2 linked regions of the Caenorhabditis elegans genome follow. The protein of the gene in region 1 interacts with the protein of each later gene in a biochemical or structural test. Each region holds a gene or a part of one and is shown in the gene's direction. Other genes may lie near its edges.

Region 1 (5,159 bases):
TGAACAGGTAATCCAAATTCAAATGTGTTCCATTTATTTTGATACAAATATAGGTGCCTATAAAACAGGCTTACCGCCTGCCTAGATAAAAACTATTTTTCAAATTAAAATATTCAGACGAGTTACTTTTTTTTTGCGGAATGTGTATTGGTTTACTTGGTTTCTAACGTACCGCTAACCAACTTAAACTGAAAATTCGAGGAAAATAGGGAGAAGAATACTGTAGATATATAAAATTTCTACAAAATTTAAATTCTTTTTACCAAAACCCAAAAATTTTCGAAAACGAACGAGTTACTGTACGAAGTTTGTATATATGCCCGCATAAACCTAGATAAGTAAGGTTAGAAAGCAACTTGAAATTTTCAATGTAGAGAATGTATTTGACTTGCCAACAACTTTGCCATTTCCTCCCGTTTCAAACTACAAAAACATGAACTTTCAATACATGGGACAATTACTTTATAAGTAGGTACACGCGACCCTAAACTTTGTTCACTTTGAAAAAAAAGTGAATTCCGTTTTAAATGTCCATGGCTGACTACATTTTTCCGTATCTTCACTCATGTTTTTCCGATTCGACCGTAATATTTGATAAGATCAAACATTTCCATGACAATCCATTCCTAAACCAGTTTTTCTTCATTTTCAAAAACATTTTTCAGTATCACTAAAGACCTTTTCCCACCTTTTGCTATCTCTTTTTTTCAATTCGAAATTGACCTTCGCACCTTTTCAGAGACCGTCAAATTCTGACACACGATGGAAAGTTTCGAGAAGAAGACTTTCTGGCGGTTTTTGATGAATTCTGTAAAACAAATGGATTGTTTGCTGGCTCCAATGCTCCATCAACTGTAGCCGAGAAATGTTACACTAAAGCGGTAATACACAATGAAAACAGAACAAAGGTTAATAGATAAGAAACGTTTGATTTTAGATTGAAAAGTACATGAAGAAAAACAATATTAATGCAGAGGTGCAAAACAAATCAACACACTTTTTTGCAATGAATGAAAGTCAAATTTTCAAATATAGAAATTATGGTGATACAACATTACCTGATGGATACTCAATTGATATACCTGAATCAACAAATGATGTTATGAAGATTGTAGGATCATCTATCACACCAAATGCAAAATTAGTAGAGTGAGTTTTTGGATCAGGAAATTAAAAACCAACAGTACTAGATTTATATCATTTTCTCACAAAATCGAGAAATCGTAAAACAACAGTTACATGGAAAAATAGGAATTTTTTTCAGAGAAAAACTTCGACGGTTCCCATCGCTCTGCGTTCGTAAAGGCGACGAACTTGTTGGATTCATTTCTTCAGAAACTCACGGAGCACTTGCTCATTTGCATGTCTTTGATGTGAGTTTTACTATTTTCAAATTGAATATTTTCAAATCTGTTTTTAGGGGCATCGTGGTAAAAATCTTGGAGAGAAGTTGGAGATTGGAGCTGCTAAAATGGCTATTGAGTGAGTGATTTTTTGACAAAGGACTGTGGAAAAATGATAATATTTTAGAAATGGAATGCGTCCATGCAAGTTCATCGACACAACAAACAGTTTCTTCTTGGAAAAAGCAAAAAAGTCAAAGTTGATGGATGTTGTTGAGTCCAATGGAACACCGCTAGTTTTCGACCAAAATGTTTATTCCCAGGCGTCAAATTATGGAATGCACAAGTGATTTTAATAGGAATACAATGAACTTACAATAAATCAAATATACATGTAAATATTGAATAAAAATTCGAATACCTTCCAGCAAGTATATTTGCAAAGTAATGTTCTTTTACAGCTAGATTTTGGTCAGACAGTGTTGTTGAAAATTTTTTAGTCGAGAAAATCTAGTTATTCGCTGTTTATGAGTTACTTTTTCAGACAATTACACAATTTCCATGCTTGCTAAAAAAAAATTATTAGTTACAGTAACCTTTAAAGGCGCAGCAGCGGGGAGTGCACATCTCAAACGAGTGTGACCGTAGTCATTGGTGAAAATTGGCAACATTTTCTTGCAAGTTTTTTGACTTTGATTCAACCATAAATTTCAGACTTAATTCTAAACTTAAGTATTAAAAAATAATTATTTGATCTTATTTAGCGCGCATTGCCGCCAAACATTGACTTTTTGTTTCGAAATTTTGGGACAGAGATGGTTTTCTTCAGTTTTCTTTTGTTCAACAACATTTGGTTCTGTTCATTCATTTATTTCATTCAGAAGGATTTTGGCCCGTTTATTTGAATTTTAAAAGAGCTTATTTCTGAATTACGTCGCTTAAAACAATAATTTTATACCGTTTTGGCGCATTCGTTTTTTCTCGTTAAAAACTTATTTCTTTCATTCTTTAGACGGTTGTTATTCATTGCTCGCGGAATCTTACCATTTTTAAAATTTCTTTAAATTTCAGGGAATCAATTAACCGAGCACCCCACGCCTAATCACTAACCACCCATTTCCCCTGCACTACTAACGAAATAATGGATATGCTCAAGGAAAATGTTATCCAGAATAATGAGTGAGCCACTTTTATCATAGTTTCTCAATTTTAATTTTCTTTTTTAAGGGCTCGTACAGAGTCGAGTGTTGAACCATCGCATCCCGATATGATGGAGACTGTTCCGGAAGAACAGCAAAAACCGATTTCTCATATCGACGATTTGCTTTCCGAGACCGCTAACCTGATGGCTGTCAAGGAGCAGCTTCTCAAGGAGATTGCTGAGTAATTCTATAGGATAAATGGACTGTTTCTTAAATTTTATCTTCTCAGAAACGAGCATATTCATTCGATGCAAATGAGAGCTCTTCAAAATCTTCCACAGGAAGCTATTCTCCCACTGCAATATCATGCTGATCCAAGACGCCGTCACCGAATGCAAAAACCGGAATCGTACAAGACTGTCATATGTCAGGCTTGGTTGGAGTCGAAGACATGTGCTTTCGCGGAGAACTGTCGTTTTGCTCACGGCGAAGAGGAGCTTCGTCCATCTCTGTTGGTTTGAACATTGAATTAAGATTACACAACATATTTTACAGGATCGAGGCACGTCAAAACAATAAGTACCGGACGAAGCTCTGCGATAAGTACACTACTACTGGGTTGTGCCCATATGGAAAACGCTGTCTTTTCATTCATCCGGACAATGGACCAAATGCATACATTCGAGCCGATAAATTGTTCGAGGTAAGATAACTTTTTAATTTTCCACTTTAATCAAATCTTCAACAGGTTTCGCAACGTCATGCTTTGGCCGACCTTCGCGATCAAATGGAGCATCATATCATGAATGGAGGTCGTTCTACAGCCGGCCCTCAACAATTTGATATGTTTGCAAGGCCATGCACACCAGATGAGCCAGCAGCAAATATGCCATTGGGTCCAACCCCAGTTAGCATTCGTGGACCACGATACGAGTTGCCATCGAAGAAGCCACTTGAGACTGAGGGTATGAAAATTGAATATTGATGATTAATTCAAAATAATTTTACAGAAGCCGGGAATCGCCCACCATCAAGCTGGCCGTTGGATCCATCAACTTTCTTCGCATTGGATAGTCTGAATATGGCAACTCGTCCAATCAGTCCGTTTGAGTCTATGCTTATTGGAGCAGCCGGGAACATGCAATACTCTATGCTTGGAAAACAATCAACACCGGGAGGAGTTTCGGGATATTCTTCCTCTGGATCAACTCCGTCTCAAGATAGTGATTCGTCTCCACTCACAGCTGCTTCTGCTGCTGCAGATGCTGCCTGCCAAGCCAACTCGGAGTCTGCTCAGTCTATTCTTCTGAAGTCTATCAACAATCCGATGATTGGAAACGAGACAACTCTTCCAATTCCTGGACTTGATCAACTTGCCATGGACATTGCCAAGCACCTTGAATTGTGGTGAATAACCACCTCCTTCCCCATCTATTTATACATTTTGTCAAATTGCCATACGTTTTTATGTCCCATACTAACTATAATAACGCGCGCAATTTGTAAATATAATAAGCTCAATGTTCCTGTCATATAGAAAGCACGCTCGCTCCCCCCATCTCTCGCAGGCTCTGAAACTAAACTTGAATTATTTTGCTGCATTTTATTATATCGGATATCATTGCATGTATTTTCAATTCCCTCCAAATATAAATTGCTCGTATCCTCTCCCCACACTAACAATCAATAAACTTTATCGAATGTCAATCAATGTTTTTGAAGACCATCTGGAAATAACGTTTTTTCACGAAGATATCTGATTTTCAATTATAGAATTGCAAAATAATTTCTGAAATGTTTCGTTTGACAAAAAAATATTTTTTAATCTTCCCTCCAATTAGTTTCGCGACAGGGCGCATTTGCTTCGTCCAGACGAGCGTTAATTTTTCAACAGATTGAGCGCATTCTTTCTTTTAAATTATTGTTTGTGGTTTCAGGTGAAATAAATGGGTAAATTGAATCGATTAGCACTTTTTCATCGTTCAAGAAGGCAATGTGCTTACTCACCGACAATTATTACACGTGAAAGTAGTAGGTAAACGATAAACTAAGAAAATAAAATAACTAATTTTTTCAGCTCCTTTAACATCGACGAGGTAACACAAAATTTTGAACAAAGAACAGAGTTTGCCGCTGCAAATTATCGAAAGAATGGTCAGATTTCCTTGATAATAGTTCTAGGCAAAAAAATATTTTTCAGGCAGTCTATTTCGTATGGTTTTACCCCCGCCAAACGTAACTGGTAAACTGCATTTGGGACATGCTCTAACAGTTGCAGTGGAAGATGCTATTTGTCGACACCAGAGAAATCAGGGAAATAAAGTAAAATTTCACGAAAAATTAAGATGCTTATTTTTATGTTTTCAGGCCGAATGGATTCCTGGATTTGATCACGCAGGAATCGCCACACAAGTAGTCGTGGAAAAAATATTGGCAAAAAATGGAAAGCGACGACTTGAGATGACACGCGAAGAGTTTGTGAAAGAATGCCATTTGTGGGGTGAAAAATGCTCATCTGAAATTCGACAGCAATTGACTCGAATGGGAGCTTCTCTCGACTGGACTCAATCATATTATACTCTCGATTCAAAATTTTCCGAAGCCGTCACAAAAGCTTTTTGCATTCTTGAGCAAGAAGATTTGATTACACGTGGCAAACGATTAGTTCATTGGT
Region 2 (9,134 bases), on another chromosome or scaffold:
GTCTCGGCACGAAAAAAATTGTTTATCTACCGTACTCAGGGACTCTACCGTACCCGTAACTGTAGCCAAAGACTCAGAAAATCACAATTCTAGAATTTTTCGGAGGGGTCGTGACGAGACCCACTGAGAATGTGAGCGTGTTCCTTTAAAGTATCGTTTCTATTATTTGCGAATATACGATATAATTTCCGGCAAATCGGCAAATTGCCGGAATTGAAAATTTCTGGCAAATCGGCAAACCGGCAATTTACCGATAATTTCCGATGTACCGAAAAAACGGCAATTGCCGAAAATTTTTGGAAAATTGCGGATTCGCACATTTTTTTTGGAAATTTCAGAATTTAAATTTTAATCGGCAAAATTGTTCCCATTCTGTGAATGTTCCTATATCTATTTTGAACAGTAAGCAAATTCTATGAAAATACTTAAAGAAAACGGGAAAAAATTTCAAAACGGCACATTTCCGGCAAACGGCAAATCGGCAAATTACCGAGAATGAAAAATTCCGGCAAATCCGCAAACCGGCAAGTTCGCAAAAAAAATTGCCAAATTTCCGTCCACCCTTAATTGGACATTCCCGACATTGCCGAATTTCAACATTTCCGATACAAAAATAAATATAAAATCAGTATAGAATGAAAATAGAAACCATGGGAACATTGAATATGCTTATTTCCACATTGATAGCGCATTTCTTCTTCTTCTTTTTTCTTTTTCATTTCCTTTTTCTTCTCCATCTCACCATATTTTTGCCCATTTCCTCCATCAGACACGCGCTCGCGCTCACTCGCTCACCACACTCAATTTTAGCTGTTTTTCCTTCTTTTCCACCCCCTCATATTGACTGACACATATATATTATATATATATATATATATAAAGATACATATATGCAAATTGATGTTCGGCAAATTGACATTGTGCAATTTGCCGAACATGAAAATTTCCGGCAAACTGGCAAACCGGCAGTTTCCCGGAAAACAATTTTCCGAACGACAATTGCCAGTTTTCCGGTATATATATTTATATATTCCCTATTACGATCAATATAGAATCCTGTTTAGCCAAAATCTTTTTTGATTTTTCCCAAGGAACAACATTTTAAAAAAATACGTACCTTTTTATTGCCACGAAATTTAATTGGAAAAAATCAATTTTGAAATAAAATGTATTTTTGTATTTATATAAAAAGCAATTCTATTTATTTTTAAAACGTGTTGGATTAGTTTTTTAAAATAAAAAAAACAACACCGAAATTTAGTCATTTTTCGTTCAATCGTTAGTGAGAAGCGGTGAGTTTTGGCGATTTTGAGCATTTTCCGTTGAAAATATGAGTAATTTCCTATTAAACTGGTTATTTCGATCGCGCTAGTGAAATTTCTTGAAATTGTGTAGCAAAATGGGCTTACATGCTATTTTAAGATGAGCAATTGAAGCATTTTATTTTGATTCAGTCAGAATTTTGAAATACTTACGAAAATAGCAATTATATCAATTCCAAATCAAAAAATATGGTACTTATGGGTTTCGTTCCCCCCAAAATGATTTCCATATTTTCTAATTGATACGTGAACTTTTTTTTCATTCCCAGGCTTAGGGAAATGATTTTCTAAGCCTTGTAAAAATGAAAACAGTATTAAAATAAACAATAACGTGTGGATTAAAATTAAAAAGGTAGTGTTGAATAATTAAAAATCATTTTGGGGGGAACGAAACCCATAAGTACCAAAAATATAGTTTCTTCTAGAAATATATTTTTTATTGCCGCTAAATTTAGAAAAATTCAATTTCGAATGAATATGTATTTATTTATTTTGAAAAAAACGTACATTAAAACGTGTCGGATTAGATTTTACTTCCCTTTTTTTAATTTTAAAATTCAAAAAATTCATTTCTATATTTAAAAATTTGGCAGTTTTGGCGTTTCCCTTTTATTACAGTGAGTTAGCCAACTTTTTCGAGCTAATAACATTACATTAAGCTTTAGAAAAAACTTTAGAAGTTTTGAGAAATACTACTTTTAAAACTTCGATTTTTTCAATTTTTGGCTAAATTCTATTCTAGTTTGAATATCCTCCAAAATGAGAGCTCCCCTACGACTATTTTGGATTTTTTGAAGCGAATCCTAAAAAAATGGGCTGAAAATGCCAAAAATCGTCTAATTTCCAGTAAAGTTTTTTGGCGAAATCCATATTTAACAGCTCTTTAATAGTCCTACAAATTCGACAAATTGCCGATTCGTCGGAAATTGGCCGGTTTACCGATTTGCCAGAAAAAGTCGTTTGCCGCCCACCCCTGTTCCCACTTTGGCTAGGAATTCCTAAAAGTTTATCGAATTTTGAAATGTTACTCCATTTCACCTCATATTTGCCTTAAATATCACCCATTTTTATACGTTTCCTCGTATTTTTCAAACCCAACGCCCAAATGAAATATTTTATTATTTTTTATTTTCAGGTGAATAGCCTCATTCTCTCCGTTTTCCCTCTCAAAAAACCACATCATATCCTCATCATCTAATCTCTGGCTCTTCTCATTTATTGGACAGAGCTCATATATACACACACACACACAAGAATCAAATCAATCAGTAGTGTGGTGTGATGAATAAGCAGTTACTATCGTGCTCGCTGAAAAGCGGAAAACAAGTGACGATGGTCGTCGCGTCAGTCGCCACGGATGGTGTTGATCAGCAGGTTGGTTTTGAGTGAGGAAATTTTAATTTTCTCGGAGAAATTTGGATGAAAAGAAGTTGGATATCAGAGGTGGGCGGGTATTTTTTTCGGATATTTTCTAATAATGAATTTATCAATAAGTATTGATGTAGTTATTCTGGAAAAAATGTATCCGAACAAAAGAGTAACTATTAAGCAACATTTTAATATGATAAAACCTAAAAAAATTCTACAAGTTTTCTGTATAAACGATATGCAAGTCCATTATCCGATATCCGTAATATCCGTAATATCCGATTGCTTAATAGTTACTCTTTTGTTCGGATACATTTCTTCCAGAATAACTACATCAATACTTATTGATAAATTCATTATTAGAAAATATCCGAAAAAATATCCGCCCACCTCTGGTGGAAATGCATGAAAATGAGGATTTTCACAAAAAAAAACTCTTTGGAAGTGATACAAATATATTTTTCGATATTTAGTACAACACAATAAATGAGTTATTACGTGTTTATCCACAGATAAGAAAAATCGCCATATCTGCCGCGCAAATGAACCCGCGGGAAGAGACAAAACTACTGTAGTTTTTAACCAATTTGTGTAGATTTACGAGCTATTGCGTCATCGTTGAATTTAATTTTGAGCCGCAATTTTTAATTTTCAGGCGTGTTTCACTCTTTTTTATATTGAAATTTATCTATTTATTGAATAAATCTTAAAAGAAAACACAAAAAAATTAGAAAAACGCCTGCAAATTAAATTCAACGATGACGCAATAGCTCGTAAATCTACACAAATTGGTTAAAAACTACAGTAGTTTTATCTCTTCCCGCGGGTTCATTTGCGCGGCAGATATGGCGATTTTTCTCATCTGTGGATAAACACGTAATAAATAGGTTGACAAAATTGTTCTCCTTTTCCTCGTGGAGTACACGATTTTACTCAAGCACTTAAAATATCAATTTCTTCAAAAAAAAAAAAAGGAAATTTGCTGGAAAACTAGCTGATAAAATGTGAAAAAATTATTATTAAAAAATCTCCAAACGAAAAAAAACACTGTAATTCAAATTTTAATTAAAAAAAAATGTATTGTAGGTTGAAATCTCGTACTACGATCAGAAAGTGATTGGAAATGGATCATTCGGAGTGGTATTCCTTGCCAAACTCTCTACAACAAATGAAATGGTTGCAATCAAGAAAGTTCTTCAGGACAAACGATTCAAGAATCGTGAACTACAGATTATGCGAAAATTGAATCATCCAAATATCGTGAAGCTCAAATACTTTTTCTATTCGAGCGGCGAGAAGAAGGATGAACTCTACTTGAATTTGATTCTCGAATATGTTCCTGAAACTGTCTACAGGTTATTTTTATTAGGATTTTTAAAAATTTCTGGAAAATTTCAGTTTTTAGCGGAATTTTTTTGTTCAAAAATAAAGAGAATTTCTTATTTAAAAATTGAAAAAAAAAATTTTTTTGGAAATTTTTAAATAAAAATTGCGAATTTCTTTTTTAAAGATATTTTTAAAAATTTTGAAAAACAATAGTAGAAATTCAATAAAAAGCTGAATTTTTATGTTTTTTTTTGTGAAAAACTGTTTAAAAATGATGTTAATGTAAATTTTTAAAGGAAATAATCAAAAAATGCCTGATTTTTTTAACCTTTTTTGTTAATTTCTGACAAAAATTCATGGAAATTTGATTTTCCGTCGATTTTGTGAAATTTTGGTTCGAAAATTGAATTTTTTCGCTAAATTTTGATTTTTTAAGATAAAAATTGATTTTTCCCGAATTCCAGCGCTACAGGGCGATTTCAAGCAGATTTCTTTGCAACATTTTTGACTAAAATGCACTATTTCACGAATTTCCTCCTGAAATTTATGTAAAAAGCTATTTAAAAGTTCAAAAATGCGTTCCAAACGTATAGAAAGGCTACAAACTACATGGCTGATAGCTTGGAATTTAGAAAATACGATTTTAAAACAAAAAAACTTGAAATTTTGCAAAATTCTTTACAAAATTGAAAATATTCTATTTTTTTATAATTTTGAATTTTCAAGTTGAAAACCTAGAAATTTTTTTTTGACAATTTTTGACTAAAATTTATGGAAAAAATTATGTAAAAATTGAAAAAATTTAGAAAAATCGATTTTTAAACAAAAAAACTTGATGTTTTGCGAAATTTATTTGAAATTTTTAATTTTTGCAGAGTTGCCCGGCACTATTCGAAGCAGCGACAACAAATTCCAATGATTTATGTCAAATTGTACATGTATCAGCTTCTCCGTTCATTGGCCTACATTCATAGCATTGGAATCTGTCACCGTGACATTAAGCCTCAGAATTTGCTCATTGACCCGGAAAGCGGAGTGCTTAAGCTCTGTGATTTTGGATCTGCCAAATATTTGGTTCGCAATGAGCCAAACGTCTCGTACATTTGCTCGCGATATTATCGTGCTCCGGAGCTCATTTTCGGCGCTACAAACTACACGAACTCGATTGACGTTTGGTCGGCTGGAACTGTAATGGCAGAGCTTCTTCTCGGCCAACCAATTTTCCCTGGTGACTCTGGAGTTGATCAACTCGTTGAAATTATTAAAGTTCTTGGAACACCGACTCGTGAACAAATTCAAAGTATGAATCCGAACTACAAGGAATTCAAATTTCCACAGATAAAGGCACATCCATGGAATAAGGTATTCCGTGTACACACGCCTGCTGAAGCGATTGATCTCATTTCGAAGATTATCGAGTATACGCCGACGTCTCGGCCAACACCTCAAGCGGTGAGTTTTTTGGGGGTTTTTGTAGAAAAAAGGCCGAAAAATGAATTAAAAATGTTTTCCCAACACTAAATTGCTGAAAATCGACTCTTTTTTCAACTAAAAACCTTTTAAATTGAAAAAAATTGATTTTTTGTCATTGAAAACTTGAGAAAATTGCCCAAAAGTTTAAAAAATACTGCGAAATTCAGGAATTTTAATCATTTTGGCTATTTTACAATTTTATGAGAAAAATCTCTAAAAATTAATGGAAGTTTGAATTTTTCGACTTTTTATCGAGATAATTAAAATGGCGAAAATTGCACAAAAAATGTCAAAAACTGATTTCCGGTAGTTTTTAACGTTTAAAAACACTTGAAAATGGAAAAACAAAACTTATATTAAAATTGTGTCAAAAAATTATTGAAATTGTCTAAAAATGGACTTTTTTTTTGTTTTTCGGTTTTGAAAGCGAATGTTCTGTAATTTTATTCTCAAAAAATGCGAATTTTTGCTCACAAAAGTTATTATGGAACACAAAATCCTTAAAAAAACATATTCGATGCGCAAAATATATCGTAGCGAAAACTACAGTAACCTTTTAAAGGACTACTGTAGCGCTGCGCTTGTGTCGATTTACGGGCTCGATTTTTATTCTGCATTTATTAATCAAAAAATGAGACAATAATACGAAGAAACGAAGGAAAATATAGAATAGATTCATATCGAAAATCAATCCCGTAAATCGCCACACGGAGCTATAGTACCCATTTAAAGGGTTACTGTAGTTTTCGCAATGAGATATTTTGCGCGTCAATTATGATGTGTAATACGCATTCTTCTCAGAATTTTCGGTTCCCGTAATATGAATGAAAAAAAAAGAGAAAGTTGAGTGTGATTTTTGAGACATTAGACAGTTGACTGAAAATTTATTTAAAAAATTTCGGCCATTCGGTCAGCTTATTTTTCCTCCATTTTGAAAATTGCAGATTTTGCAGATTTTCGATCGCTCAAAAAAAAAGCAGCCAGTTTGAAACGAAATTCAATGATTTTATCTGTATTTTTCCAAAAAAAAGTATCTTCATTGTTCACAAATTCGATCGCCCCCTCACAAAACCGCTTAGAAAGTCCACCCCGTTCGTTGGTTGCTTTTGAAAATCGCCTTAATATCTATCGTTGAAATCTTTGTTTCCTCATTGTAATTCTCCCATAGATCAAGCCATTTCCCGGTTTTTTTTCTTAGATTTCTCAAATTGGCACGAATATGGAAGATATTTATGGAAGCAGATGGGAGCATTAGATTTTTACACAAAAAAAATTGCAGAATTTTGGCTTTTTTTTCCAATTTTTGGAAAAAGATAACTTGTGAAACCGTGGTTTTTAATTTTGAAAAAAAAGCTATAAATTCAAAGTTAGTGAAATCTGAAATAGACATAAAAATTGAAAATCCCACTGAAATTTCAACTTGAATTTAACAAAATTTCAGCTAAAACTTGGAAAGAAATGTTTCTTGGAATTTTTATAGAACTCGCTGACAAGCAGTGAGCAGTAAAAAACTCGGCTCACAATTTATCCGTACTTTTATTTTTTGAAACTAGTAACTAAATGTCAACTGCAAGAATATTAGAGGCCATACTACAAATGAGATTTCCAGAAAATTATGATGTTCTCGTAATTTTAAAGATGGAGACATTTACGTGGTATGATGGTTGAAAATTAGAAAATTGGCTTGAAAACACTTTTAAATTTAGAAAAACCACAAAAAACGAGCAAAATCGAGAAAAATGAACAATTCAACTTTCGAAAACACGATTTTCCCTATTGTGACTAACTAGTATATTTTAAATTTCCATTTTGAATTTCCTCCAAAACGAGAACTTCCCGACCAATCAGCGATTCGTCCTGCCCACTTTTCAACCAATCAGATGAAGTGGGCGGAGTTCGATGTCGTTGATTGATCGATTGGGGAGTTTGCATTTTGGAGGGAATTGTCTGCGTTTTGATCTACAAAAAATGCGGGAATTTTTTCCCAGAAAAATTGTAACGTCTGCACGCTTTTAACCATGTGAAATCAGTTGAGATGTTTGCGTCTCATCTCCCGCATTTTTCGTAGATCAAATCAAAATGGGACTTTCTGACTCCACGTGGATTCAAACATGGGGAATTTGGAACTCACAATGGACAAAAATATCGATTTTGCTCGTTTTTCTGAATTTGAGACTGTATTTTGAAATTTTTGAGAGACAAAATCGCCCCCAATTCACGCTACTTTAACAATTCAACCAATATATATATGTTTTTCGTCTTTTTCAGGCCTGCCAGCACGCATTCTTTGATGAGCTCCGAAACCCGGATGCACGTCTTCCATCTGGTCGACCTCTTCCAACACTTGAGATGGACGGTCCAATGGGAACTGGTGAAGTTTCAACGACAAGCGGTGATGTGGCTGGCCCATCGGCTTAAACTTCTTTTTTTTATTTTAATATTGGTTCTGAATTTTCTCTCGAATGTTTCTTTTTTTTTCATTTTCCGTGGGATTTTTCTTTTCCATTGATTTTATACATCCATCCTCTCCTCTCTCTCTGTCTCTCTCTCTCTCCATACCTATCATCATTAAGAAAAAAATTATTATTTTTTCTTTTGAGCCCTCCCCCCCCCACCCCCCTCCATCGCCCGTATCGTCTCCATAGCAACTGTGTTGTAGAAGCATTTCCCCCCAACTCGATTGTCTGCTGCTCTTCTTTTATTTTATTTTATTGTCCCCTCAAGCTTTTTTGTCTCGAAAAACTTGAATTTTTACTCTTTTTTTTTTACCCCACCTGGCTCCCCCCTGGATTTTTCTGTGAAAATTTGGCTAAAAATTAGGTTTTCAAGGTTCCTGAAATTTTGGCTGAAAATTGGGTTTTAGGCCAAAAATTTTGGGTTTTTTAAACCTTTGGCCTAATTTTTGAGGCCCAATTTTTTAGGACTTCATCTAGGCCCAAAGGCCTGAAAAAATCCGCGACTTCTGTACATTTCCTCCCCCTCCGCCGCCGTTTTCTTTTGTAATCCCGATTTTGTGTTCCCACGCTCTCCTCTAAAGAAATTTCTAGCCAAAAATGAATTGAAAACTGCTCTCTCTCTCCCCCATATTTTCTGTCTTTTTTTCTTTTCTTTTTTTTGCTCTGTAAGTGTCTCCCCACAACGCCAATGTCCCTGTTTTTGTGGAAATTTTTTATATATTTTTTGGAAATATAGTATTTGTCCCCCCAATTCATTACATTTTAAAAATATTTTATTTTTCCCCACTCTACCACCACCACCAACTGAAATTTCACACACCATCCAAATTCTCTCCGTCTCTCTCTCTCTCTCTCATTTTATTTTCATTTTTTTTCCTGGAAATAAAAGTGGATCGATTTTTCTGAAGATTTTCGAGATAATGATCATCCCCCCGCGCGCGCATCTCCGAATAATGCCTCTTCTTTGGACATTAAACAGTCATTTATTTGTCCGATGCGCCTTTGAAGAGACGAGAAGCTTCCTTGTTAATATTTTTCATTTTGAACCGCTGGCGCTGAAATTTACTATACATTGCTACTGAACATAAATGGTGAGGCTGTGGTGGTTTTGTAGTTTGTAGTCTTTGTGACTACAAACTACGAAAATTACTTTTTTTTTCCGCTTGGAATTGGCTTTAAAATGAAAGTT

What was found.
Region 2: of the proteins of oma-2 (region 1) and gsk-3, one has a biochemical effect on the other in vitro, tested with the Caenorhabditis elegans proteins (one study listed by BioGRID).

Annotation. Positions count from the first base shown.
Region 1 is NC_003283.11:8,027,025-8,032,183, forward strand, and holds oma-2 (CCCH-type zinc finger protein oma-2), read left to right. Parts: upstream 1-2,414; 5' UTR 2,415-2,484; coding exon 2,485-2,522; intron 2,523-2,570; coding exon 2,571-2,726; intron 2,727-2,774; coding exon 2,775-2,996; intron 2,997-3,040; coding exon 3,041-3,188; intron 3,189-3,233; coding exon 3,234-3,450; intron 3,451-3,495; coding exon 3,496-3,896; 3' UTR 3,897-4,190; downstream 4,191-5,159. Other genes in the region: F43H9.4 (Glycine N-acyltransferase-like protein), read left to right, coding at 740-881, 938-1,149, 1,265-1,373, 1,421-1,482, 1,531-1,693; vars-1 (valine--tRNA ligase), read left to right, coding at 4,432-4,520, 4,563-4,639, 4,686-4,807, 4,853-5,159. UniProt on the Caenorhabditis elegans protein: Zinc-finger RNA-binding protein that binds to 5'-UA[AU]-3' motifs in the 3'-UTR of maternal mRNAs to suppress translation in oocytes and embryos.
Region 2 is NC_003279.8:12,816,759-12,825,892, forward strand, and holds gsk-3 (Glycogen synthase kinase-3), read left to right. Parts: upstream 1-2,457; 5' UTR 2,458-2,603; coding exon 2,604-2,696; intron 2,697-3,776; coding exon 3,777-4,045; intron 4,046-4,891; coding exon 4,892-5,468; intron 5,469-7,360; exon of another isoform or gene 7,361-7,414; intron 7,415-7,757; coding exon 7,758-7,907; 3' UTR 7,908-8,844; downstream 8,845-9,134. Other genes in the region: nhx-8 (Sodium/hydrogen exchanger), read left to right, coding at 9,034-9,036.